4 linked regions of the Drosophila melanogaster genome follow. Changing the gene in region 1 together with any one later gene gives a genetic interaction. Each region holds a gene or a part of one and is shown in the gene's direction. Other genes may lie near its edges. The genes, in order: hb, bnl, Kr and Lam.

Region 1 (8,030 bases):
ATCTTACAGATACATTTGCATATCATTTGGGAGATGCGAAGATCATGAGATAAAGATGTGCGGATCCGCCCTGTTGATCTGCCCAATCTTCCCCTCGAAGGAACTTCTGTTGAGACAGCCGCAGGCCAAAGGTTAAGGATAAGGATCATTTGCATGCGTGGCATGGACTTTCGGCAATTAGACGATCATGATCATCAGCATGTTTGTGTTTGTCCCGATCACCGGATAGGTATATCGCAGCTCATCAATTAAAAGGTCAAGCGTGACGGTCCTTGGGACTATTTGTTATGTCCTTAACTTCAACTTTACATAACTTTCCAAACGTAACTGGGTAGGATCCACACAGCACCCGCCCGCCTAAGCAACGCTAATCGGGCTGATCAGCGAACGCTAATCGCTCGGGACTAACTGGATCCTCCGGATCAGCGGCGCTGATCCTGCGTGATCCTGCGTACTGCGTAATGTTGGATTATGTCCTGTGCAGAAGTACGGCCAACTTTTAAATCGCTTTTAAATCCACATCACTCTAGTTCCAGTCGCACTTCTTCGGATGCGCGGATTAATGAACTGGGCGGGCCGATCAGGTAGCTTTGCGTCCTTTAATCCTTTCTTCGCTAAGTCCGGTTGCAGTTCGTATTCGTAATCCGGTTTGCCATGTCAACGTCAATGGCAGGTCTACCTCCGGTACTACCTGTTCCCGAGACGTCCTTTTGACACATATATTCCTCTGGATATGTGAGAGCAACTTGTATAATTTGCATTCCGGCGGCGATTTGTTTGCTCTGTTGTTTTGTAAATATTGCTTTTACATTTTCCCCACCCCCTCTGCCAACGCCCTAATTTCTCCCCGTTCCACTTTAGTTTTAGCCAAAATATTCGACATAAACAGGAGATTTTAGCCCAAATATTCCACATAAACAGGAGATTGAATAAAATAGCTGGAGGCACATTAATTCCGAACTTAATTATGAATTTGCATGTATGTTTTCTTTAGAAAAACTCTGATCCATACAAATAATAAGTTATCCTTTTGTATTGTATAGAGAAAAAAAGGTTTTTACCAATGAACTATGAATAATGAATAATAATAATAGTTTTTTTTTTTAGTCCAAAATTTGTCATTAAACCTAGTTAGAACAATCGCTCCTAATTTATCATTCTAAAAGCGAACATTCCGCTTGGGAAAAAAATTGGTCTAAACCGAATGATACTATTAATGATATGCATTTATTGCTAACCATAATCCTTGTCAAGCTAACAATGATACATTTTCCGAAATTAGCTTAAAAAGGTGGAATACACCCAATATGCACAAACTACCTTAAGGAGATTTGGAATTTCGAATGCTAATTGTGGCAAAGCTTTGCCCAAATTAAGTTAACACGCACAGCAACAGGAAAATGTGTTAAAGCAACAAGGAATCTCCTCGGCCCAAACTTCCATCGTCCCAATTGCAGTTGGCTAAGTTGTTAATGTGTCTGGGCTTAAAGTTGCCCAAAAAACAATTGGCGAAGGCCCCCCATCTTCCTCCATTTCCGCTCTCTCACTTTTGGGCCAGAAATCAATAATCAATAGTGAAGCGGAGATGCCAAAAAACGGCAAAGAGCCAAAAAGGCAGCTGCATTCGGCCAAAATGCAGCGCCAGAAAATGCAAAAGGATAAAATGAGCGAGTCAGAGCGAGAGAGTGGGTGAGTGAGTGAAAGAGCGAACGCCACGAAGGGGATGCTGTTTAGTTATTGCTTTTGGGGATGGGGAAAGTCACTCAGATTTACAGCTAGCATCCGTATCCGTTTTGAGTGAGTTTCGTCGTTACGTTGTTGATGCTCTCCGGCTGCTCTCTCATTTCGATTTCTGCTTCTCCGTGTAACGGCTCTCGTGCGCCTTTGTGTTGTTGCACTTCTGGCATTTGTTTTTGCTTTGCAATTGAGATTTTAGATTTGAGTTCTTTTTTGGCGAGTGCACTGTTGTGAGGAGCAGTGAGGAGATTTTCAGCTATTAGAAGAGCCCGCTGAGCGTGAGTTTGGTCAGTTGTGCTCCGAGTCCCGAAAACGAAAGTCGCCAGCATTGACAGGCAGCCACTGAAATACAAAAATAACCAAACATCCAAAGGACGAAACGTAACTGCTATCAAAACAAATATTGCCATTAAATACAATTAAACTTCGTGCTTGTGCTAAAAGATAACCAATTGCAAAAAGACTTTTGTCCCGAAAACTTATTTTTTGGCAAAGACCACATCCCGCACATGCGCGAATTCCGCGAAAAAGAAAGCACAAAAGCAAGCTAAAAAGCGAGGCCCAAAAAATAGACAAAAACGAAGAGCAAGGAGCCCCCACATCGCCGCTCCCCCTCGCACGCACTGTGCGTGTTGGTCTAACGGTAACCGTGCCGCGGTCAAGCGAGAGAGTGGGAAAGAGAGAGTCCGCGAGCGAAAAGCGAAAACTTACGTGCTCCTGCTCCTGCTCCCGGTTCCCGTTTCCAAATTCTCCCGCAGAATTGCACTTGGACTGTCCGCAAGGTAAGTAACTGGGCGTACCATCCAATATCCTAGTTATACACTGCATTCGACCTCCAATAAATCGTAAAAAACACATGGAGGTAGAAATTCGCAAAAGCTTTCCGCGGATAAACAAATAAACAAGAATTACAAATCGCTTTTGCGGGAGCAAATGCCAAAATGTTGGGGTATCCAGAATATACACAGTTTTTGTGAGGATTTACATACGCCCTGTAAATTTTAATTTAGTTCTCAATTGATACGAAATCTGTTTTTTTTTATAGAATATATTCGATATATAGTTGTTTAATTATAATTCATCATGTGATATACTTTCAAAAGAAACAGATTTAAATAGTTCGTTTATATGCTATTATGCACTATGCTTAATGTATTTTACTTTATTAATTCATGCTAATCTGATGACTGATAACCAATTTGCTTATTCTATGTCATAATCACCTTTAATCCCAAGTACTCAACTTTCTTCTAGTTCTGCACATTTTCTTGTTCTCTTCTTGTTGTTTGTAATCGAGTGCTTCTTTTTCTGTCTAACCTTAGGAACACAAACAAGAGATCTCACACACATGCACACACACAACCACACAGAGTGGTAAATCATTGCTAAAAATGCAAATGGCAAAAATTCTAAAACAATATTTTAAAATCTGTCTGGCTTTTGGCCGATCTTCGGGTGAACTTGTTTTTTGCCCGCTCTGTCTGTTTTTGCCTAGAACTGCAGCGTATATCCAACCCCCAACCGACCCCCCCCCCTCCTCATTTGCTCCTCCTAAGCAACGCCCCTGGCCACGCCCCCCTCTACGCCTGACAGCTAATTTTATTTGTTTACATGTCGACTTTCATGTTGTTTTTTTTTCGCCTTCCTGCCCCCCAAATAACCCCTTCAATTTTTAGCATTTCTTTTCGCTCTTCTTTCGGCAAATGCATTTTCGACTTTTCTTTTTTAATAATTTAAATTTAGACATCGAACTATAATTCAAAGTCAACGTGGCAATTTTTTAATGGCAAATAGTTCGGCACTTGCCAAAATGCATTTCAAATATAATGAATACACCTATGTGACGCTCGCAGGCTTTGTTTTTTTTTTTTGTTTAGGATGATGATGGGAATCATTATTGCACGATCTTTTGCAGAATTGATTGTCATCCGACAGTTTTAATGTTTGCCGACAAAAAGAACTGAGCGCATTTCAAACAAATGGGGCTTTGTTAGGCGCATAAAAATAAATATGCACATATTATACGGGATATATTTATAAACCGCAAATGACATTGAATCACTTCAGTCAGCAGCAGCAGTGCAGTTTTCCCTAAACGAATGCAGCTCCAAAAAACAACAAGTTGTTCTAAGCCAACAACATAACGGTTGCAACTACACATATGTATACGCATACATACATATATTTTATATACGCCTGCAAACAAGCAGGCATATCCTGCTCTTGGCTTGCTTTTTGTACGGATTTTTCAACAAAAACATTTTTTGTGTGGCGCATTTTCTGCGTTTTCGAATTTTTCCATTTTTGCCATTTTCATGATATTTTTAGAGGGTTAAAAAGGGGGCGGTGTTGGGGTGGGGGGGGAGGCACCAAAAACGACTAGCACATGTTTAGTTTACTTTTGCAGTTTCGGTTGCCTGGCTGCACTCGTTGTGGCCACACCACGCCACTAACCCCCACTGCATGGTCCCCATGCCCCCACCCCTGCCCCCTTGGCCCATGCCCCTGCCCGGCGTAATATTAATTTTACACTTGGCCTTTAGTTTGGCTTTGTTGCTGTTGTTGGGCATGGCACAAAAAAGCCCAGACGAAAGGCGAAAATTCTCTTTGTTTCATAGTGCGCACACACACTAACACACTTGCCGAGCAATTAATTTTGGCTTTCTTTAAAAATATCCACAAAAGCGAATTTAAATAAATATGCTAAGCTTCATTTTGTGTGGTGCACTTTCTGTTTCCTGAACCATCAATTATGCCTAAGTATTGTAGATATTTTAGCTGCCAGATAGCACAGCACCATCCTCCCATAATAATATTCCGTAAATGCCCCTTTTTCCCGTTTTGCGTTTTTAATAATATTTACTTGAAAGCACAAACAATTAGCCAAAAATGCAGCAACTGCACAATTTTTCAGTGTGAAATTGGAAATGGAAAAAATATAGGCAACAAGCAATTTTAATGCGAGAATTATTAGAAAAACTACGCAAATCAAAGTGAAATGTCTGGCGGAAAATTGTTGTCAGGAAAATGTTTTTCAAATGGGTGTGTAATAATTATACTGCACATATTATGCATATAGTTTAGTTGGTCCTTAGAGTTTTCCCGCAGGTGTAAGCAGTTCTGATCCGTTAATTTAGTTAAGTCCCGCAATCCTTTTTACTTTTTATTATTAACTACGAAACTGCCCACGCTAGCTGCCTACTCCTGCTGTCGACTCCTGACCAACGTAATCCCCATAGAAAACCGGTGGAAAATTCGCAGCTCGCTGCTAAGCTGGCCATCCGCTAAGCTCCCGGATCATCCAAATCCAAGTGCGCATAATTTTTTGTTTCTGCTCTAATCCAGAATGGATCAAGAGCGCAATCCTCAATCCGCGATCCGTGATCCTCGATTCCCGACCGATCCGCGACCTGTACCTGACTTCCCGTCACCTCTGCCCATCTAATCCCTTGACGCGTGCATCCGTCTACCTGAGCGATATATAAACTAATGCCTGTTGCAATTGTTCAGTCAGTCACGAGTTTGTTACCACTGCGACAACACAACAGAAGCAGCACCAATAATATACTTGCAAATCCTTACGAAAATCCCGACAAATTTGGAATATACTTCGATACAATCGCAATCATACGCACTGAGCGGCCACGAAACGGTAGGATATTGTTAGCCATTACCAAGTGTCTCCATTTTGAACACAAAATCACTCAAATCGCCTTCAGGGGGTGGGTGCCGCCCAGCCACCCCTGACGTATTTTTTGTTAGGGGTGGTGCCGCAAGCACACCAAAAAAAGAGAAAAAAAAAATAAAAGCGAGGAAAAATAAAATGAAAAACAAGCGGAAAAAAAGAGGAAAAAACTCGACGCAGGCGCAGTGCATGAATGAATAAATGAATATGCCCACTAACCCCACTCTCTCTGTTTTCTTATCCATTACAGCCGTCTAGAGCCGCCAAGATGCAGAACTGGGAGACGACAGCCACGACCAACTACGAGCAGCACAACGCCTGGTACAACAGCATGTTCGCGGCAAATATCAAACAGGAGCCAGGTCATCATCTCGACGGGAATAGCGTGGCCAGCAGTCCGCGCCAATCGCCCATTCCCTCGACCAATCACCTGGAACAGTTCCTCAAGCAGCAGCAGCAGCAGCTTCAGCAGCAACCCATGGATACCCTGTGCGCCATGACCCCATCACCCAGCCAAAACGATCAAAACAGCCTGCAGCATTACGATGCTAACTTGCAGCAACAGTTGCTGCAGCAACAGCAGTACCAGCAGCATTTCCAGGCAGCCCAGCAGCAACATCATCACCATCACCATCTGATGGGTGGATTCAATCCGCTGACGCCACCTGGTCTGCCCAATCCCATGCAGCACTTCTATGGCGGCAATCTGCGACCCAGTCCGCAGCCCACGCCCACATCTGCCTCCACAATTGCGCCCGTTGCAGTTGCCACTGGCAGCAGCGAGAAGTTGCAGGCACTAACACCACCCATGGATGTCACACCGCCTAAGTCGCCGGCCAAGTCGAGTCAGTCGAATATTGAGCCGGAGAAGGAGCACGATCAGATGTCGAACTCCAGCGAGGACATGAAGTACATGGCCGAGTCCGAGGACGATGATACCAACATCCGGATGCCCATCTACAATTCGCACGGCAAGATGAAGAACTACAAGTGCAAGACCTGCGGCGTGGTGGCCATCACCAAGGTGGACTTCTGGGCGCACACCCGCACCCACATGAAACCAGACAAGATCCTGCAGTGCCCGAAGTGCCCGTTCGTCACCGAGTTCAAGCACCACTTGGAGTACCATATCCGGAAGCACAAGAACCAAAAGCCCTTCCAGTGCGACAAATGCAGCTACACGTGTGTCAACAAATCCATGCTAAACTCGCACCGCAAGTCGCACAGTTCTGTGTATCAGTACCGTTGTGCGGATTGTGATTACGCCACCAAGTATTGCCACAGCTTCAAGCTGCATCTGCGCAAGTATGGTCACAAGCCCGGCATGGTTTTGGACGAGGATGGCACCCCGAATCCCTCGTTGGTCATCGATGTTTACGGCACGCGTCGTGGTCCGAAGAGCAAGAATGGTGGACCGATTGCCAGTGGAGGAAGTGGCAGCGGCAGCCGGAAGTCAAATGTTGCAGCTGTCGCTCCGCAGCAACAGCAATCTCAGCCAGCTCAGCCAGTCGCCACATCTCAGCTGAGTGCCGCCCTGCAAGGATTCCCTCTGGTTCAAGGCAACTCCGCTCCTCCGGCGGCATCTCCAGTGCTCCCGCTGCCCGCCTCTCCTGCCAAGAGTGTGGCCAGTGTGGAACAGACGCCCAGCTTGCCCAGTCCAGCCAATCTTCTGCCTCCTCTGGCCAGCCTTCTGCAGCAGAACCGCAACATGGCCTTCTTCCCCTACTGGAACCTCAATCTCCAGATGCTGGCCGCCCAACAACAGGCCGCTGTCTTGGCCCAATTGTCGCCAAGAATGCGAGAGCAACTGCAGCAACAGAACCAGCAGCAGAGCGACAATGAGGAGGAGGAGCAGGACGATGAGTACGAGCGTAAGTCAGTGGACTCTGCCATGGATCTGTCCCAAGGAACGCCAGTGAAGGAGGATGAGCAGCAGCAACAACCGCAGCAGCCGCTGGCCATGAATCTCAAGGTGGAGGAGGAGGCCACGCCTCTGATGAGCAGCTCGAATGCCTCGAGACGCAAGGGACGCGTCCTCAAGCTGGACACCCTGTTACAACTGCGATCGGAGGCCATGACATCTCCCGAGCAACTGAAAGTACCCAGCACACCCATGCCAACTGCATCCTCGCCCATTGCCGGACGCAAACCCATGCCCGAGGAGCACTGCTCGGGCACCAGTTCGGCAGATGAGTCGATGGAGACGGCCCATGTGCCGCAGGCCAATACCAGTGCCAGTTCGACGGCGTCCAGCTCGGGGAACAGCTCCAATGCCAGCAGCAATAGCAACGGCAACAGCAGCAGCAATTCCAGCAGCAATGGAACCACCTCAGCGGTTGCAGCTCCTCCATCCGGAACTCCGGCGGCGGCGGGTGCCATCTACGAGTGCAAGTACTGTGATATCTTCTTCAAGGACGCCGTGCTCTACACCATTCACATGGGCTACCACAGCTGCGACGATGTGTTCAAGTGCAACATGTGCGGCGAGAAGTGCGACGGACCCGTCGGCCTCTTCGTTCACATGGCCAGGAATGCTCACTCCTAAGTTCCCCATCACCATCACCTTGTTATTATTATTTATCACTATTATCATATAATCGTTGTCCAG
Region 2 (4,730 bases), about 11 Mb from region 1:
TACCAAACACGATAGATGACACGATAAACAATATTTTATGGCTTTAATAAACAACATTGCCTTCTCAAAACTGCTACTTTATAGCAGTTATATAGTCTTAGCGACAATGTAAAACTTTGCCAATCAGTAGCAAGCCCGCACTTTCCACCGGCAACACCCACCCACTGAATGACGCTGTCATCAAGAATGACGTAGGCGACTACCCCGGAATATTTCTGCAATTTCTGTAGTGTCAAGTTGAAGTTCATTCATACACACATATGGGTATCTGCACCATGTGATTTTTTATAAGCGCCTTCTAAATAGATAAGATAAACTTGTATTCAACGAAATTCGCGCATAGCTGCCTTAACTTTTAAATTTGCCGTGTGACAGTATTTTTGGGGCTAAATTTTGGTCAACATCTAAAATTAGCAAAAATTTCGGTTGGTCAGAAATAGGTTTTGTGGTTTATTGCAGCCACAGGCAAATGAGTTGGTCAAAGTTCAAACCTTATCAGTGCGAATACAACGATGCGATTAGCACCTATCGTGAGTTGGCTTTCCCACGCGACTGATTCACTGGCAATGTTTAGCCGAATAATAAAGGGTACTGGGTGACGCTTGTTGTTGCACTTTGTGTTGTTAGTTAATTGGTATTTGTGCAAGTCCACGCTACCTGGCGAAATACGTCAAAAGCACTGGAAAAGGTCTACGCGCCAAAAAGCACAACCGCCACCAAACGCAATCCAATCAAAAACAAAAAGCAACTGCAATCTCTCCCTTTCACAATGTCTGTTTGAAAACCGTCACGTGATTTGTCGCCGTCGACTTAGGGGGCTCATTATAGTGACAGAACTCTAACAAAAATTAGTAGACTACTGTATTTTATATATATATATATATATATTTTTTTTTTTATATATAGAACATTTTAGTTGAGCTTTATGTTCGAAAGTTGTTTTTCTAGTGACAGATAACACCTTGTAGCCTACATTGTGGCCCAAAAAATTTCAGAATTTTCGGTTAGATAGTTACCATGTAACCGTTTAAGATATTTAGAGTAAGAAAAAGTAGGCTTCATAAATGATTAAGATGACTACAGTTAACCACCCCAAACACTAACAGAATTTGTTTGTTTTACTTAAAATCCAAAAATAATTTTCTAAATACAACAAATAAGTACACAAAAAATAAAAAAAAATTGATTCATATTTTGCATTTAATGTTTGAGTACAATGTTGAGCTAGTAACACAGTAGTTTTTAACCACTCATTAAAATTTATAATTTATTCAGCTACAAAGTATAAATTAGCAACGAACGAAATACAAATCTTTTATAACGGTGTTTTTGATTCTGACGCTAATGTATGATGAATCAACGAGTTGGCAGCGTTTCAATCACTTGAGCCGCAGTTTCGTCAGATCGGAAGGATGAATTGGGAATAACAGATAAACCCCATATCACACCTAGGGAACCGACCGACCACCATTCACTACAGCTGACCACCGACCACCATTCTTGGCGTTTACCTTACTCGCCCACTACTTGCTCTCACTCTCTCCGTCTCCCTCCCGCCGAACCGCACCGCATCGCACTCTCTCTCTCGTGCTCGTTCCGTCGCAAACGTGCTCGGCGTGAACGCACGAAGCGTCGCCTCATCGACAGGGTCTTTTTGCTCATGGCTTCAGTCTCTGACTAGCACGCTTGGGGAACACACAGTGAGCGGAGCGTCCGCAGTCGCAGTAGCACTCGAAGTCCGCTTATCCGCATCCGCAGCGTTTTCGAATTTTTCAGACCTACCATTCGATCCGATCCGATCCATCTGGCACATCCTAACCATCTCTAATCGTAACCCCATCATCGTGATCGCGTCCGTAATCGCTCCGTTTTAACGTACTCGATGTTCCGGTTTTGTGTGCAATCGTTTTCAAAGGAGATCGAAACAATAATCTCGGCGGATAGGAAATTTGAAACACGAATGTTCGTTTCGCAATCCAAGAGAGTCGTTACAATTTGAAAAGCCCGCAATAAAAAAAAAAAATCGTTTAGATGCGAGCAATTCGAAGATCGGAAAATATATAAAAAAATAAATATATATATATGATTTGTGCTGTGTTTGAAAAAGGAATATAAGAAAAAAATTATGAAAATGTTGAATTGTTGTTGCCGTAAGTTTTAAAGTGTGCAAAGTGCAACTCTCTGAAAATCAACGAAGAATACAACGCGTCCAAAAAAAGAATCGTAAAACTGAAAAAAAAGCAAACAAACATAAAACCTAGGTGCGTAATTTTCTGTTTCAACGCTGTTACATAAGTTCTTTTTTTTAATAAGTTTGTTGTTCCTCCAAGTATTTGTTCGAATGTTGCAAAATATTTCATTGGATTTCGGTCTTTGGAGCTTAGCAAAAGCAAGCCTAAAATTATTGAAAGTTTCAAGTTTGCCGAACGGAAAAAATATATGTTTTTCTGTATTATTAGATTTGATGTTTTGAAATACTAAAATTTATAAAGAGTTTCAGTGTTCTTTGGTCGCGCAATGTTGGGCATTTAAATAAAATATTTTGAATACGTTGAAATGTGGCAATTTGTTTGGTAACTTTCAAAATAAATTTAAAACATTTTCCACTTGGCAGCGGGCCGAGTAATAAGTGTATTTAAATGACCCACGAGGGAAAGTAATTAAATAGCAATATGTATAAAAACGAAATAAATTGATTTCAACAAACAAATAGCAAGCTAAAGCAAATGGGCAAAAACTTAATTTATATTAGTGGCATGCTAATTGAAATAATTTAGTTCATATTTGATTTGATTGATCAATACCTGTGCAGAATGATATTCACTTAAAACGTAATCTGATTGCATTTAGGTATAAGCGAATTAAATTTGATTTGCAGCCTAGTTTTTCCAAGTACTTTTCCGCGTTTATCTGCCCCAAATAAACAATTGGTAAAGCAAACAAAATGTAGCAAAATGTTTTTTTTTGCCAACCGGTGAAAGCAAACGACCTTAGGAGAACCCACTCTATGAAAGCGAAATTCATATAAATTTAAGCACACGATCTTTGGGATTATTTATAGTTTTTTTTTTTGCAAAACGCATATACATTTGCGAATCTTTATCGCCGTCTTGAAATGTATCTGTATCTGCGTATATGCGAATTGTGCGTATCTCTATTTGCAAACGCACGCAGGCGCTTTTAATCTCATTTCGCTAACTTTTTCGCAATAAACTTTTTTTCTGCTCACTCTGCGCGTGCACTTTTTGTCCTATAAATTGGCGGCGCTGACTATTATCTAACATTTGTGCGCTATTATCTAAGCTGGCTTGTTGTTCTTGTTCTTCCTGCGGATGATTTGCGCTGCGTATCTGTATCTGTATTTTGTATCTGTGTGCGAATTTGCGTTATTGCCGCACGCTAGTATGCGTCGGGTTCAACAACTGCTAATCACATGCCGGATCACAGTTTGGACAGCCGAGCGACAGACAAAGTGCGAAATATGGGGATCGCGATAAAGAATAAACTGAATGAATTTCGGCTGTGTGGACTAGCGGGTGATATCCTTCAAAATTAATGGCAGCGAAGAGTGCTTAACTCAAATCAGGGTCATTATTTGTAGAAGCTATTAACTATTTGGTATTTTCAGATTTTTTCTGGTCATTTTTCAAACTTATCTGGGGTCTAGGGAAAATATTAAAATTTTGGTTTATTACCTTTTACTTTCCTTTCATAACTTTTTTATTGGTTTACAATTGTTCCAGCAATAAGGGCTATTAGTTAGTATTATAATCAAGTTAATCTTTTTTGCTAACTTACATAAGCCATAATAAATCTTATCTTCTAATTCTAATTGTATAACTTATTAATAACCAAAAATAAGCGATAAAGATTCATACATTAATTATACATAATTGAATTGTGCCTCTTCAAATGCCGATCAAATTTTATTTCCTTTGCCGTTAAAGTTCTCACGTCACAATTTCATCAACTAAAAAATGAATATCCCCCAAGGGCAAAGAAAATAATTGGCTAATTGTTTAGTACCGCTTACGAAACGGTTTCTGGCTACGTCAACGATTGAATAATTGAAAAGACCACCGTAAATTTAGACATTAAGACATCAGTTTATGCAGAAAAACCAATTGAAGTGATTAAATTGCATGGGCAGTCCCGAATTAATTGAAAAGTAAATTTATATTTTGGTAGTAAAAGAGTTGCGCGTGGAATTTATATTTCCCCGGAGACTGTCGTGCATGCCTTCGGACTTCAGATGTCATAAAGCCAGCCAATTATCAGGTTTAGTTCTGAAACGCACGAGTTGGGTAACTTTTCGCTTGGGCCTGTGACACATTTACAAATTGTGCCTGATTGATGGGGCAGCAAGCCCAGTGGAGCCAAAGTTTGAAATACAACGATCATAATTCGTAGATAGATAAAGCTTATCGCATGCAAAAGAAAAAAGTTTTATGGCCGTGCGTAAATAGTTTTGCGGTTTGTTTTTCTTTTTGCCCAAAAGTGGCGCATAACACTCGGAATATAAAGTCAACCGAAGTCGGCGAAAGAAGGCGGAAAATGCGGGAAACTCAGTAAAAATGTAGCGTTTGTTTTAATTAAGCGTGAACACTAGACCACATAATGTGCGGCATACATTTAGAGACGCACACACACGATCGCACATGGCAACAGCTTTAGGTACACCGCTCAGTTAAAAAGCGAGCAACAAAAAGGCAAAATGAAAACGAGAAAAT
Region 3 (7,059 bases), on another chromosome or scaffold:
CGGCCTCGACCATACGCACTTTACACGCACTTCTGCCCCATTCACTCGGAAATCTTTAGTTCGCTTTGCCAATCAAAATCTAGTCTATTTTTCTTTTACTCGCTTTGATACTATTCTAGTTTAGTGATTGCCGACAAAGTCATTAACGATAAGGCCCGGATCTTATTAAAATCTGTTGAGCTTAAGTGGATCTTTCAATATCAAGCCTCTGCTTATCACGCAAACAACCAAAAAAAATTTCTGACTAATCGCCGAAACATAGGAATCGTATGAAGATTTTCTAAAACCGGTCAGCTCAGCCCGAAATTTAAGAATTTCTTATCAATAGGGTCAGTTTTAAGCGCTTTGCTTGCATATTATTTAATGCCTTCTGCGAATTTTGTTTTGGTGAAAAACTTTCTATGAAGTCGAACATTCGATGACAAAACCATTATAATTTTACGTAACATTATGCAGAGCAAGGATATTTGTGTGCCTTTCTGCTTTTGTTTGGTTTCACTTTCTTAAAATCCACGGTAGTTCAAATTTACCACCCGGTGAGCTCTGAGCGTCCTTGGCCTACCTACAAAACCAAAAATACCGATTTTCAACATAAATTTAACATAGCATGTCCTTGCCATAAAAATCTACATAAAACCATTTAAAAGTCAATCCGCAAAAGTCACAGAAAACGTCTATACAAGCAAGAAAATTTCAACGATGCAGCTCTCTTACAATTTTTTATTATATTTCCTTTCTACCTGAATCCGTTTTTTACTAGTTCCTTTTTACGATTTCTTTTTTAGACGTGTGCCAATAATTAGTTGTCCATTAAACTGAACTTCCACGTCTTTGAGACTTTGCTCAACAGGCTACAAGGAAGACAAAAAACTCACTCAGTATAGCTGGTAAAAAACCGTCGACCTTCTTTCTTACTTTCTGCACTCCTTAAGCCGATGTTTTGTTTACTTCCTGTTTACTCGTACAGCGCACGCTTGAAATTCAACCCCGTCCGTGACATCTCTTTTCATGAATTTTGGCTCTTTTGCTCTCGCTGTTTCATTTTCGCCCTGTTCTCCATTGGCGTTCATCCCCCTTAGACACATTAGTTATTTTCTATAGCTCAAATGTAAAAAGGGGAAATGACAAAGGCACATCTGAGTGAGTTTTTGTTGTGCGTCCCTTACTAACTCTAAAAACTTCTACGTGATCTTTATGTGGTGTAATATTCCTGCAAGTGCAGTTTTTATGAAGGCTCTAAAAAACACAAGCGGAAGTGGTCATAAGCATTAAAAAATGTCCTTTAACGGTCAACACATAGTTCTGATTTTTTATGTTTTATTACTGACTAGAAACGTAAAGGTCATAAAACCCTCTACTCAGCGAAGATAATTCGCATCGACAACCTATGTTAAAAAACCACATCGTCCATATTTGACTCTAACTGACTATATATCTTTTGCATTGAAAGGAACCTCTAGCTGTCTCATTCGCACCAATTTGCATATGAAAAATTAGCACTTTTAGGTATAAAAAGGAATCGATGAAATCAACTCACTCAACTCAGCGAAGTACCCAGTTTTTACTTTACCTGCTCAGGCTTGGGGATCGTTTTTCGCTTTCGCCGTGATGATTTCCCTTCCTGTCTGCACCCTTATTTGCGTGCGTGTGAGCGGGAGAGCCAATTGAGTCCCGGCGTGTGTGCGTACGAGGGTGAGTGAGAATCTTTCGCCGAGACAGAGCGTACTTATAGTTAGCTCACGCAGCGAATTTGTATCAGTCGTGATTTGGCTCTGTCAGCGAAAGGAACAACCATTTGTTGTGCCACACACAACCGCGAGTAATATAATCGAATCAAATTTCAACTACCTCATTTTGCTAAATCGGTAAACTTTTATAAAAGACAATTTTTGTGAAATCTCTCTACCTCAAAGTACAAAAGTGTGTACAAAAATTATTCATATCCCTGAAAGTGCACAAATTGCTCAAATGAAATTTTGTTGTCTAAAAAACTGAAGCTCCAAAACCACGAAGGCGAATATTATAGGTGTTTTCTGTGTGCGGGAAAACATTGCGCGAGCACAAAATTAGGAGCACAAGAAGAATTTGTTGATGTCCATATCAATGCTTCAAGACGCACAAACGCGAAGTAAGTATTAGACCAAATTAAAATATTCCCCAAGTTTGTAAACTATCTAGAAGTTCTAGAGTCCCCGATCACTTTCTCATTATTAAACAGTCCGATGTCTTTAGGATAGAAAATACAAATGTAATGTAATTGCACACATACCGATTAGTTAGAATTTGTTTACATGTTTGGACAGGAACCGGCACTTAACTCGTTATCGACCAAAACAAAAACTAGTTAGACGAAAATAGAGAGCTGCGAAAACACTAAGAGTTCTCTCCGTACGAAACTTTCTCTCACACATGTATCATATGTAAAATTTTTTTCTCTTTTAAGCCGTTGCTCTTAAGACATTTCCAAATGAAAACATACTAACTTATGATTTTTTTTTTAGCCTTAGCTGCTGCATTAGCTGGCATAAAACAAGAGGACGTTCATCTAGACCGTTCCATGTCGCTATCGCCCCCCATGTCGGCCAACACATCAGCTACAAGCGCCGCTGCGATTTATCCAGCTATGGGTCTCCAACAGGCGGCCGCTGCCTCAGCTTTTGGAATGCTCTCACCTACCCAACTTCTGGCTGCAAACCGTCAAGCTGCCGCATTCATGGCCCAACTGCCCATGAGCACATTGGCCAACACTCTCTTTCCACACAATCCGGCGGCTTTGTTTGGGGCTTGGGCTGCCCAACAGTCGCTCCCGCCCCAGGGTACGCATTTACATTCGCCGCCAGCCAGCCCGCACTCGCCGCTGTCCACTCCTTTAGGTAGTGGCAAGCACCCATTAAATTCCCCCAACAGCACTCCCCAGCACCATGAGCCAGCGAAGAAGGCTCGAAAGTTATCGGTTAAGAAGGAGTTTCAGACCGAGATCAGCATGAGTGTAAACGATATGTACCATACATCGGGAGGCCCAATATCTCCGCCTTCCAGTGGCAGCTCTCCTAATTCAACGCACGACGGAGCGGGTGGAAATGCTGGATGTGTCGGTGTCTCCAAGGATCCATCTCGCGACAAAAGCTTCACCTGTAAAATCTGCTCACGCAGCTTTGGCTATAAGCACGTGCTTCAGAACCACGAACGCACCCACACCGGTGAGAAGCCTTTCGAATGTCCGGAGTGCCACAAGCGGTTTACTCGTGACCATCACTTAAAAACCCACATGCGTTTGCATACTGGAGAAAAACCATATCATTGCTCGCACTGCGATCGTCAATTCGTTCAGGTGGCCAATCTTAGACGACATTTGCGAGTCCACACTGGAGAGCGTCCCTATACTTGTGAAATCTGCGATGGCAAATTCAGTGACTCCAATCAGCTTAAGTCCCACATGCTGGTACACAACGGTGAAAAGCCGTTCGAGTGCGAACGGTGTCACATGAAGTTCCGACGGCGCCACCATCTGATGAATCACAAGTGTGGCATCCAGTCGCCGCCTACTCCCGCGCTTTCACCGGCCATGAGTGGAGATTACCCCGTGGCAATCTCCGCAATTGCTATCGAGGCATCCACGAATAGATTTGCGGCAATGTGTGCCACCTACGGAGGTTCGAATGAGTCGGTCGACATGGAAAAAGCGACACCGGAGGACGATGGTCCATTGGATTTGTCTGAAGATGGAGCCAGCTCTGTGGATGGCCATTGCAGCAACATCGCACGGCGCAAGGCACAGGACATTCGTCGGGTTTTCCGGCTGCCTCCACCGCAAATCCCTCACGTACCCAGTGATATGCCTGAGCAAACCGAGCCAGAGGATTTGAGCATGCACTCTCCTCGCTCTATCGGATCTCACGAGCAAACCGATGATATTGACTTGTATGATTTAGATGATGCCCCGGCTTCTTATATGGGCCATCAACAACATTAGGCCAGTACCACACCGAATTGTACATAGCCCTAATCAGTTTTCATTTGATGAAATTGACTGGCATTTATTAACACAAAATTGAAAATTTTGCTATTTCAAAGTGGAAAGTAAAAATTGTTGCAACAGGAATATAATGATAAGTACAAGTTTAAAAAAAAATAACATACAAAAAAGTCGAAATTGTACAAAGTAAGCCATACCGTATGCTTGTTACCGCCAAACCCCACCAAATCAAATCGAAAATGTCGTGCCATTCTTTACCTTAAATTTAAGTTATATTCTTAGGTTCGGAATCTTAAATTGTACATATTCAGCTTACACAGCTGCCAATTGTAAAGTAATCGGCGCTCTAAACATGCATTGTTGCAGAAAAATAAAAGACACGAAGTTTAATTAGGAAATCTATAACTAATTTTATTTAATTTATTAGCTTAATTTTTTATAATTTAATCAAATTCTTTAAGAAAACAATGCCAATAATCTTCAAATCAAAACTAACTTTAAGTTAAATAATAAAAAACATTTGTTTGATAATTGTTCTGTTTGCATTCTCTATTTAAAACTATTATTAAATATAAAAATTTAGTTAATCCTGTTTTTTTAAAGATCATTCTTAAATGTACACTTTTATATTTATACTTCAATAAATATTTGGTTTAATTGTTGCTGCTTCAAATATAAACAATAAAGAAAAAAGAAAATCAATGGTAACGTTAATATTTAACTGATTCCGCTTTTATTTCATATTGCCATAACTTAAACACAGTTTACGCATCCATTTTTGAAAATCTTTTTTTTTTTGTTGCAAACTATAAGAAACGTTAATATATATTCCAAAATAATAACCTAATGTAGATCAATGCGTATCGAAAGTATAGTAATCCCACTTATCTTAACACTCGTAACTATTAGTTTTAATTGTAAGACTTGAACCAAATACACAGGAAGAAATTGCTATAACCAAATACCTCCAATACCTCTGTATCGAAATTGTTGTGAGCTAAACAGTATATACATTCAACAATTTGGCAATCGTACAATTCAACTGAATTTATATACAAGACTTAGGAATATAAACTACGAAGCATAAACAATTTATATGTATTAAAATTTTGATGCATATTTAAATGGACCTAAAATAAGAAATTAATTTTAAATACTAGGCCAATTCAAATTACATATAAAAGTATATAAGGTTGTATATAACAATAACAATTTGAAATAAATTTAGTGCAATTTTTCGTTCTATTCATTGGTAAGCTTACTGCTTTTATTTTAAAACGTTGTAGTCATAATAATGTAACAAATTAATATGTAATTTTCTTTGTTCATTCAAATGTATGGTATACAAGTTCCTCAAGATTAAAAGAATACAAGAGCTATAAACTAAAATAGAGAGTGCATTTCTAATCATTTGAAAGTCAGCGCACGAAAGACATCATATTAATTGTGTACAGCAACATTCGACGTTTAACCCAATAGATATAATTAAATTTATAAAATCACAAGTCAATTTTTATGTAAATAAATTATAATCCTAATTGTGGCTAGGGATGTGCAATGTATCAAAAAATAAGAGTTATATGTGTTAATTAGGGGGTTGCTAATTTTAACCCTTTAAAGACATACACACATACACCTTGTAAAATACGTCAGTAAATATAAACTAGAAAATGTATTTTATGGTACATGATTGCATTAGATATGTCAGTCTAGCATATAGTAAACGAAACTGTTACTTTTTGTCATAACTATTTCTTCTCTAATTTAATGTTCTACCTATATCAATAATAAATACATATGTATACATCGGCAAATATGTATTTATTACATAAAAATCGAAATATATTATGTTAAATTTAAAAATTGCTGTCTGGGAAACCAAAAATAAATGAATATAAATATATATATGTATATATATGTATATACATATGAGATAATTGTGTAAAGCAAAAAATATTCGTAGCAACCCCGCTTTAGAAAATTACCCACAGCTTTCTTCGATTTTTCGTAAAAGAGAAAACGGGCAGCATTACATAAATTTTTAATTTATGCAAACGAAGCCCTTTCGCATTATTTTACATTTGCCACAAGACGCCCCACTAATGCCGTCGCCACGTTCCTCCCCACGTCACCCCCTTTATTCATCCATCCCTTCACTGGAATTTAAATTTACGTCTGCAGGCAACGGCAGCAGCTGAGCAAAAACGAATATAAAAATCGCGCCGCGCAGTCAGAAAATGTCACAGTGTTTTTTCCATTTAATCTCCAGAGAGAGAGAGCAAACATCTACAATGCTATGAAAGAAAGTCGACGCCACCCACTCATACCAATCGCCTCCCGTTCAGCCATGCCGCGGAACTGACGCCTTCTCTTCTTTGTGCCCCTTTCAACAGCCAAAAAAGGCTTCATCCTGGCAGCCCCCTCTATATAAAATTGTATGTACAAGTATTACATAAAGAACGTCTTATGTACTTACACACGTACATATATAAAACGGAGTAAAAGAGTGAGACGCAGGACAAATGCTCACGTTTTGTGATGCTTATTAGCATTTTAGGCTTTTTTCGCTTAGACTTCTGTAAACATACTCTATGAGCGTATACGTAAATAAAAACAATTCAATAATTAAAAAGTTAAACGTAATGTTAGCCAAATAAACCTTATGCTAAAACTGTTTACCCTAATTTTACCAATAAAAGCTTATTATAAATAAGTTAAAAGAAGAAACGGGAATAAACTGGTAATTGCCAGTTTTATAGTGTAGATAGGTACGTATATCTTATTCGAACCCCCAATCCTCACCCTCAAAAGCTTTTTTTTTAGCTGCCGAGTAAATAGTTTGGTGTTGGACATAGAAAACTTTCAAATGAGTTTACGATTTTTTTAAATATTTCGTGTTCCGCAAAGGAATGAAAAATAAAAGGCCTTGAAAATGAATTTAAGGCCTTCGCTGGCAAAGAACCGCCGACGCACCCAACTTACTGTCGTTATTATTTAAACTGAAAAATTATAATTTTTACCAGCAGACTTCTGCTCACAAATTCTAAGACTGGCGCTTATCCAAGAAAGACATTATTATAAGC
Region 4 (6,483 bases), on another chromosome or scaffold:
CTTTTGCAACGGTTGCCAATTTCCACGATTAACCATTTAGAAAATGGTGTCCGATAGTCATTAACTAAGTTTTTCGATACGAGTTATGCTCACAGAGCGCTGGACGTTTGGTTGTACGCGTTTAACCATTTGCAAGATGGTGGTTGGCTTATACGGAGGGGATCAAGATCGAATGTTCGATATCGCGTGGCATTAACAAAATAATAACTAATTGTCGTGATAGCGGTGGATGCGAGGTGGAGAAGTACGAGCATTTTGGTTATGAACACGTTGATATTTACATCTTGCATGAACTTTTTGCAAACGGGACGAATGTCCTTGCTCAATGTGGCAGAGAACATCATCACTTGTTTGCCGTGCGGCGTGCTACGGAAAATCTCTTGAACGTCACGACGCATATCTAAAAGAATGGTTTGGTTATTAGTAAAACGTCCGTCATTTGGTGATTATTAGTCAACTTACCCAGCTGCTCCAGCATCTTGTCGCACTCGTCGAGCACAAAGTGCTTCAAAAGCTTCAGATTAAGTTTCTTGTTGCGAATGAGGGCGAGAATTCGGCCAGGGGTGCCCACCACAATATGCGGGGTGCCGCTCTTGAGGGTCTCCTCGTCCTTTTGAATAGCCATTCCGCCAAAGAAGACAGCCACCTAAATAGAAAACATATCGAATTAATATATAGTAACTATATAGTCGAACCAAACTTTTTGTTGAATTATATACAATGGATTAAAACGTAGACTCACCTTGACTGTGGGCATGTACTTGGAGAATCGCTCATACTCCTTGCTGATCTGGAAGGCCAGCTCGCGGGTGTGGCACATGACCAGGACGTGGCAGGTGTTGTTGTCCGACGGCTCCAGCTGCTGCAGCGTGGCCAGAACGAAGACGGCGGTCTTACCCATGCCGGACTTGGCCTGACAGAGGATGTCCATGCCCAGTACGGCCTGCGGAATGCACTCGTGCTGAACTGCAAGCGGAGAGCATCGTTAGTGACTGTACCTTTCGTCACTCCAGGTGGAGTGCAAGTACTCACCCTCCGAGGGATGCTCGAAGCCGCAGTCCACGATGGCGCGCAGGATCTCCGGTTTCAGGAGGAAATCGCGGAAGCCGGAACTGTGAATGGACACATAGGTGCCCTTGACATCCTTCTTGGGGGCCTCCTGGTTTTCGACCGCAGTGGTCTCGGTCTGCTCCTCATCCTCGTAGTCCAAAAGATCGTCATTGTCGGCCATTTCTGCGGCTTTCTTACCTTTAACTAGTTATCGGCTATAAATTCGCAACTAAATGCTGGGAAATAAAATGGGTGCGACTAGATAAGTTACATGTGTTTGTTAAAGAAAATGCCGCTTTTTTTTGCGGAACCGGTGCCGGCGTTCCCTCCGCCATTTTGTTTTTTCACCGCACCGCATTACATGTATTTCGAAATAAAACGAAATACCCATTACAAGCGACGATTTTATTTAGTGCAGTGTGATTTTCAGTGTCAAACTCACCTTTTGTGCACGTTTATCACTTTAAAATACAGCTTTTAAAGTGAAATTAACTATTTTAAAATCTTTAACGTGATGCGGAGGAAAAAACAGCGCAGAGCAGTGTGACCGAAGTACGTTTAAGAACTCATGCGAGCTGAGCCGGGTGATATCGTTAAGTTATCGATAGTTGTGCACAACAAATCCATTTGTAAGCTTCAACTAAAAAGTTTTTATAAAATATATGCCTTCTAACGCTTTAAATTAAAATGGCTTGTTGAGCTTAAATTTAATTTTTTTTTTATCATTTTGGGGTCAAGCGGTTCTTAGTCTTTTATCTAGCGCGGCGTTTGGTCACACCAGGCATGCCGGAAAGTTATCGATTAGTCTCTGAAACCATCGCAACAAATTCGATTACACGTTCCAGCGTCGGCCGCGTTTTCCTGCTGCAAGATACTTCATTTTCAAATTTGTGCATTTTCCGTTCGTTATAAAAAGTCAGGTGAGTTGCGCTGCTATCTACGAGCATTAGGAAAACTTGTAGAAAAAGTTGAAATAACTGATTAAGTGCCGAACAATAGAGGCGGCACTGTTTCACTCAAAATCGAAATAACCCCCCTGCCTGTATTAGTGTAAAGTCGCTGTAAATATTGAATTAAAATCGCCATATTGTGCAATTTTTGGCTCCTTATCAAATCGTTTAAAGTGCGTCGACTGGATTAGCTAAGCGTTGCGATTGATTAAACTAGTATTAGCCGCGCCATTTGCCTCCACGCCCATAAACAAACGCCGACAAACTCACTTCGTTTTCCTCGTCCGCTTTAGTACAGTCGCTTGAGTGGAAAGCGATGTGCGTGTGTGTGAGTGAGACGTAGAGGAGACTGCGAGAGAGAGAGAGAGCGCGTTAGAGAAACTCGTTTAGCTTCTGTTTTTGAGCGTTTTGTGCGTTTCCCCTCTTTCGTGTTCGGTTCTGTTTGGAATTTTATCAGGGCGCAAAAATAACATACCCTACACCGAACGAAAAAGTTCAAATATAAGTATTGCATATAAAACGCGTTTAGAAGGCACGCAATTGTGTTATTCAACTTTTCTTCAAGTGTTGTGTCCTAAAGAGGTCAGTCACAAAAATCTCACGTGTTATTCTGCACATTTCATTTGTCTTGCAGCGTGAACATGTCGAGCAAATCCCGACGTGCTGGCACCGCCACGCCGCAGCCCGGCAACACCTCCACCCCCCGGCCGCCATCGGCGGGTCCGCAGCCGCCGCCGCCGTCCACTCACTCGCAGACGGCCTCCAGCCCCCTCAGCCCCACCCGGCACTCGCGCGTGGCCGAGAAGGTGGAGCTGCAGAACCTGAACGATCGCCTGGCCACCTACATTGACCGGGTGCGCAACCTGGAGACGGAGAACTCCCGCCTCACCATCGAGGTGCAGACCACCAGGGACACGGTCACACGCGAGACCACCAACATCAAGAACATCTTCGAGGCCGAGCTGCTGGAGACGCGCCGTCTGCTCGATGACACAGCTAGGGATCGCGCTCGTGCCGAGATCGATATCAAGCGTCTCTGGGAGGAGAACGAGGAGCTCAAGAACAAGCTGGACAAGAAGACCAAGGAGTGCACCACTGCTGAGGGTAAGTGCGTGGAAACTGAATCGATAAGAAAACCTTATAATTGTAGGGCAAAGAAAGTAGAGTAATGATAAAATTAAAAGTAAGAAGAGACAAAAGGCGTGGTTTCAAGCAAGAACGAAACATTCATTTAGTTGCTGAACTGTATATAATGATTATCCCATGATATTCCTCACTTTCTGTGACAAAATCATCCCTATTCTGGCATTTAACGAACATTAATTGATTGATTATCCCAACCCGCAGGCAATGTCCGCATGTACGAGTCGCGCGCCAACGAGCTGAACAACAAATACAACCAGGCCAACGCCGATCGGAAGAAGCTTAACGAAGACCTGAATGAGGCGCTAAAGGAGCTGGAGAGACTGCGTAAGCAGTTCGAGGAAACGCGGAAGAACCTGGAACAGGAGACACTGTCGCGCGTTGACCTGGAGAACACCATTCAGAGTCTGCGCGAGGAGCTCTCGTTCAAGGATCAGATCCATTCGCAGGAGATCAATGAGTCGCGCCGCATCAAACAGACAGAGTATAGCGAGATCGACGGTCGCCTCAGCTCCGAGTACGATGCCAAGTTGAAGCAGTCGCTGCAGGAGCTGCGCGCCCAGTACGAGGAGCAGATGCAGATTAATCGCGATGAAATCCAGTCCCTCTACGAGGACAAGATCCAACGACTGCAAGAGGCCGCCGCACGCACATCCAATTCCACGCACAAGTCCATCGAGGAGCTGCGCTCCACTCGTGTGCGTATCGATGCGCTCAACGCCAATATCAACGAACTGGAGCAAGCCAATGCCGACCTCAATGCGCGGATCCGTGATCTGGAGCGCCAGCTGGACAACGATCGCGAACGCCACGGTCAAGAGATAGACCTTCTCGAGAAGGAGCTCATTCGGCTGCGCGAAGAGATGACGCAACAGCTCAAGGAGTACCAGGACCTTATGGACATCAAGGTTAGCTTTAATACTTGTCTAAAATCGTGTACGTATTAATACATAAATCTAATTATCCTGCTTAGGTCTCCCTGGATTTGGAAATCGCCGCATACGACAAGCTGCTGGTGGGCGAGGAGGCTCGTTTGAACATCACCCCAGCCACCAACACGGCCACAGTGCAGTCCTTTAGCCAGTCGCTGCGCAACTCCACGCGAGCCACGCCATCGCGTCGCACTCCCTCTGCTGCCGTGAAGCGCAAACGCGCCGTGGTCGACGAGTCGGAGGATCACAGCGTCGCCGATTACTATGTGTCCGCCAGTGCCAAGGGCAACGTGGAGATCAAGGAGATCGATCCCGAGGGCAAGTTCGTAAGGCTGTTCAACAAGGGCAGCGAGGAGGTGGCCATCGGTGGCTGGCAGCTGCAGCGGCTAATCAACGAGAAAGGTCCTTCGACCACTTACAAGTTCCATCGATCGGTGAGGATCGAGCCAAATGGCGTGATCACCGTTTGGTCGGCGGACACCAAGGCCTCGCACGAGCCGCCATCGAGCCTTGTGATGAAGTCACAGAAGTGGGTCTCCGCCGACAACACTAGGACGATTTTGCTGAACTCCGAGGGCGAGGCCGTGGCCAATCTGGATCGCATCAAGCGCATTGTGTCCCAACACACATCCTCCTCCCGGCTGAGTCGTCGTCGCAGCGTGACCGCCGTGGACGGCAATGAGCAGCTCTACCACCAGCAGGGCGATCCTCAGCAGTCAAACGAGAAGTGCGCCATTATGTAAAATCAAACGCAGCACAACACAACTCTTTCCTCTTTGCTGAACAAGACAAACAAAATAAGCACACACGAAGATCATAATTTAGAACCCAAAAACACACACACCGAGGTACAGAGATTTATTATTCAGCTAAGTTATTTTTTGTGGCCGCAGCGCCAATTATTTAATCAAAAACATTTGTGTAGAAGACATCCTGAATCTTCGTTTCGTTTGTACACTTTCGTTTTCCCTTTCTTAACAAATTCTATAGTTTATTGTTTCGATGTTTTTGTATTTCCGCGTTAACTAATCTATTGTAAACTTTATTTGGTATAAACTGGAGAGGCATGTTGCCTCTTTTTTATGCCACATAGAATTTACGTAAGACGTTCACTTCTTGTATTCGCGGCGGCAAGAACTTTGAAAATATTGCAAGAAAAACAATATTTTCGATGTACTTACGCTCCACCTACATATTTAGTAAATTAGTTTTTAAGCTATATCCCAGATAAACCAGTCGACGTCAGCAAACAACAACAAAAAAAAAACAACGAGCACGTAGTGAGTGATTTATAAGATACAGGTCAAGAGGATTAACTAAAGAAAACAAACGCTCCTGACAACAGACATATTTATTTAAGTATTTTTTGTACAATCAACATAAAATACATTATACATTATACATACATATACATACATACATTATATATATAGACTCATGCCTACGGAAGTGACAACCAGCCAGCAATATATATTTTTAGCCATGGCCATAGGGTTTACGATCCACCAAAACGGCTTTCTCCCGGTTTAGACCGGTTCTTGAGCTTCCTGCAGACATTTTACCGGACGAGCAACAATAAGAACAGCAACAACAACAACAGCATTAACAGCAACAACACAAATGTACAACAATTACAAAAGCAACAAAGAAGAAAAACGAAAGAAAATGGAAGTACACGTAGCGGCTCAGCGATCCGTCGCATTTTTTATGGGTGGGCGTGGTCGCGTTTTACGCCGGCCAAACAAATGCAACGCCCACACAGACTATTATACAAAAACTGATGAATACAACTAAATTTTAAGTACATCTACGTTTATGTATGTAATTGCTAATAATTTGATAATTAAAAAATAAAGAAACCATGTTTAATAAAAATTAAAAACAAACTTTGATTTAGCAATAGAGAGAAAGACATAAAAAAGTATTAAATAGTTTTAAAGCGTATACTGAAACCAATAAGCTCCTACGAATTTCGTAATAGTAGGGTACGCATTTCACTTTCGACGCCTGGTGGCCCTTTTTTCGTCACTCGCTTTGCGTTTCTATTCGTCGCCATGAGTTATTTTTGGAATTTTAATTTTTCTGCGTCTGTATTAGTTGCCTACATGCTTTTTCAATGCGTGTGTTCGCTCATAAACTTTATTTTTGAGTGACTTATCGATTATTTTTGAGTGCAGGACGTTTCAAAACCAACGTGCTTTCGCATTTATAAATATAATTTCTCTTCTTCTTCCGACCATGATTGTTTCTTTTAAAAATGTTAGGTGTCAACCCTGTCGATAGAGAAGAGAGCAAAATCCACTCAAACGAAACGCACTCAACGCGAGAGATGCGGTTAAAGTTCGTTCAACTGGCAAATGCAGTGACCGTTTAACCCGCGATAACGATAACAAAAGTATCTCAAGGTT

Evidence for each region.
Region 2: of hb (region 1) and bnl, changing one enhances a phenotype caused by changing the other (phenotypic enhancement), as found in Drosophila melanogaster (one study listed by BioGRID).
Region 3: of hb (region 1) and Kr, changing one suppresses a phenotype caused by changing the other (phenotypic suppression), as found in Drosophila melanogaster (one study listed by BioGRID).
Region 4: of hb (region 1) and Lam, changing one enhances a phenotype caused by changing the other (phenotypic enhancement), as found in Drosophila melanogaster (one study listed by BioGRID).

What each region holds. Positions count from the first base shown.
Region 1 is NT_033777.3:8,691,815-8,699,844, reverse strand, and holds the start of hb (hunchback), read left to right. Parts: upstream 1-2,022; 5' UTR 2,023-2,519; intron 2,520-5,244; exon of another isoform or gene 5,245-5,389; intron 5,390-5,672; 5' UTR 5,673-5,690; coding exon 5,691-7,967; 3' UTR 7,968-8,030. UniProt on the Drosophila melanogaster protein: Gap class segmentation protein that controls development of head structures.
Region 2 is NT_033777.3:19,833,793-19,838,522, reverse strand, and holds the start of bnl (branchless), read left to right. Parts: upstream 1-1,705; 5' UTR 1,706-2,261; intron 2,262-4,730.
Region 3 is NT_033778.4:25,224,861-25,231,919, forward strand, and holds Kr (kruppel), read left to right. Parts: upstream 1-1,750; 5' UTR 1,751-2,091; coding exon 2,092-2,128; intron 2,129-2,501; coding exon 2,502-3,973; 3' UTR 3,974-6,534; downstream 6,535-7,059. UniProt on the Drosophila melanogaster protein: Krueppel is a gap class segmentation protein. It is involved in the segmentation of the embryo and in the differentiation of the Malpighian tubules.
Region 4 is NT_033779.5:5,540,691-5,547,173, forward strand, and holds Lam (lamin), read left to right. Parts: upstream 1-1,789; 5' UTR 1,790-1,970; intron 1,971-2,088; exon of another isoform or gene 2,089-2,634; 5' UTR 2,635-2,641; coding exon 2,642-3,104; intron 3,105-3,347; coding exon 3,348-4,051; intron 4,052-4,116; coding exon 4,117-4,818; 3' UTR 4,819-5,952; downstream 5,953-6,483. Other genes in the region: Hel25E (helicase at 25E), read right to left, coding at 282-400, 463-646, 743-966, 1,033-1,231. UniProt on the Drosophila melanogaster protein: Lamins are components of the nuclear lamina, a fibrous layer on the nucleoplasmic side of the inner nuclear membrane, which is thought to provide a framework for the nuclear envelope and may also interact with chromatin.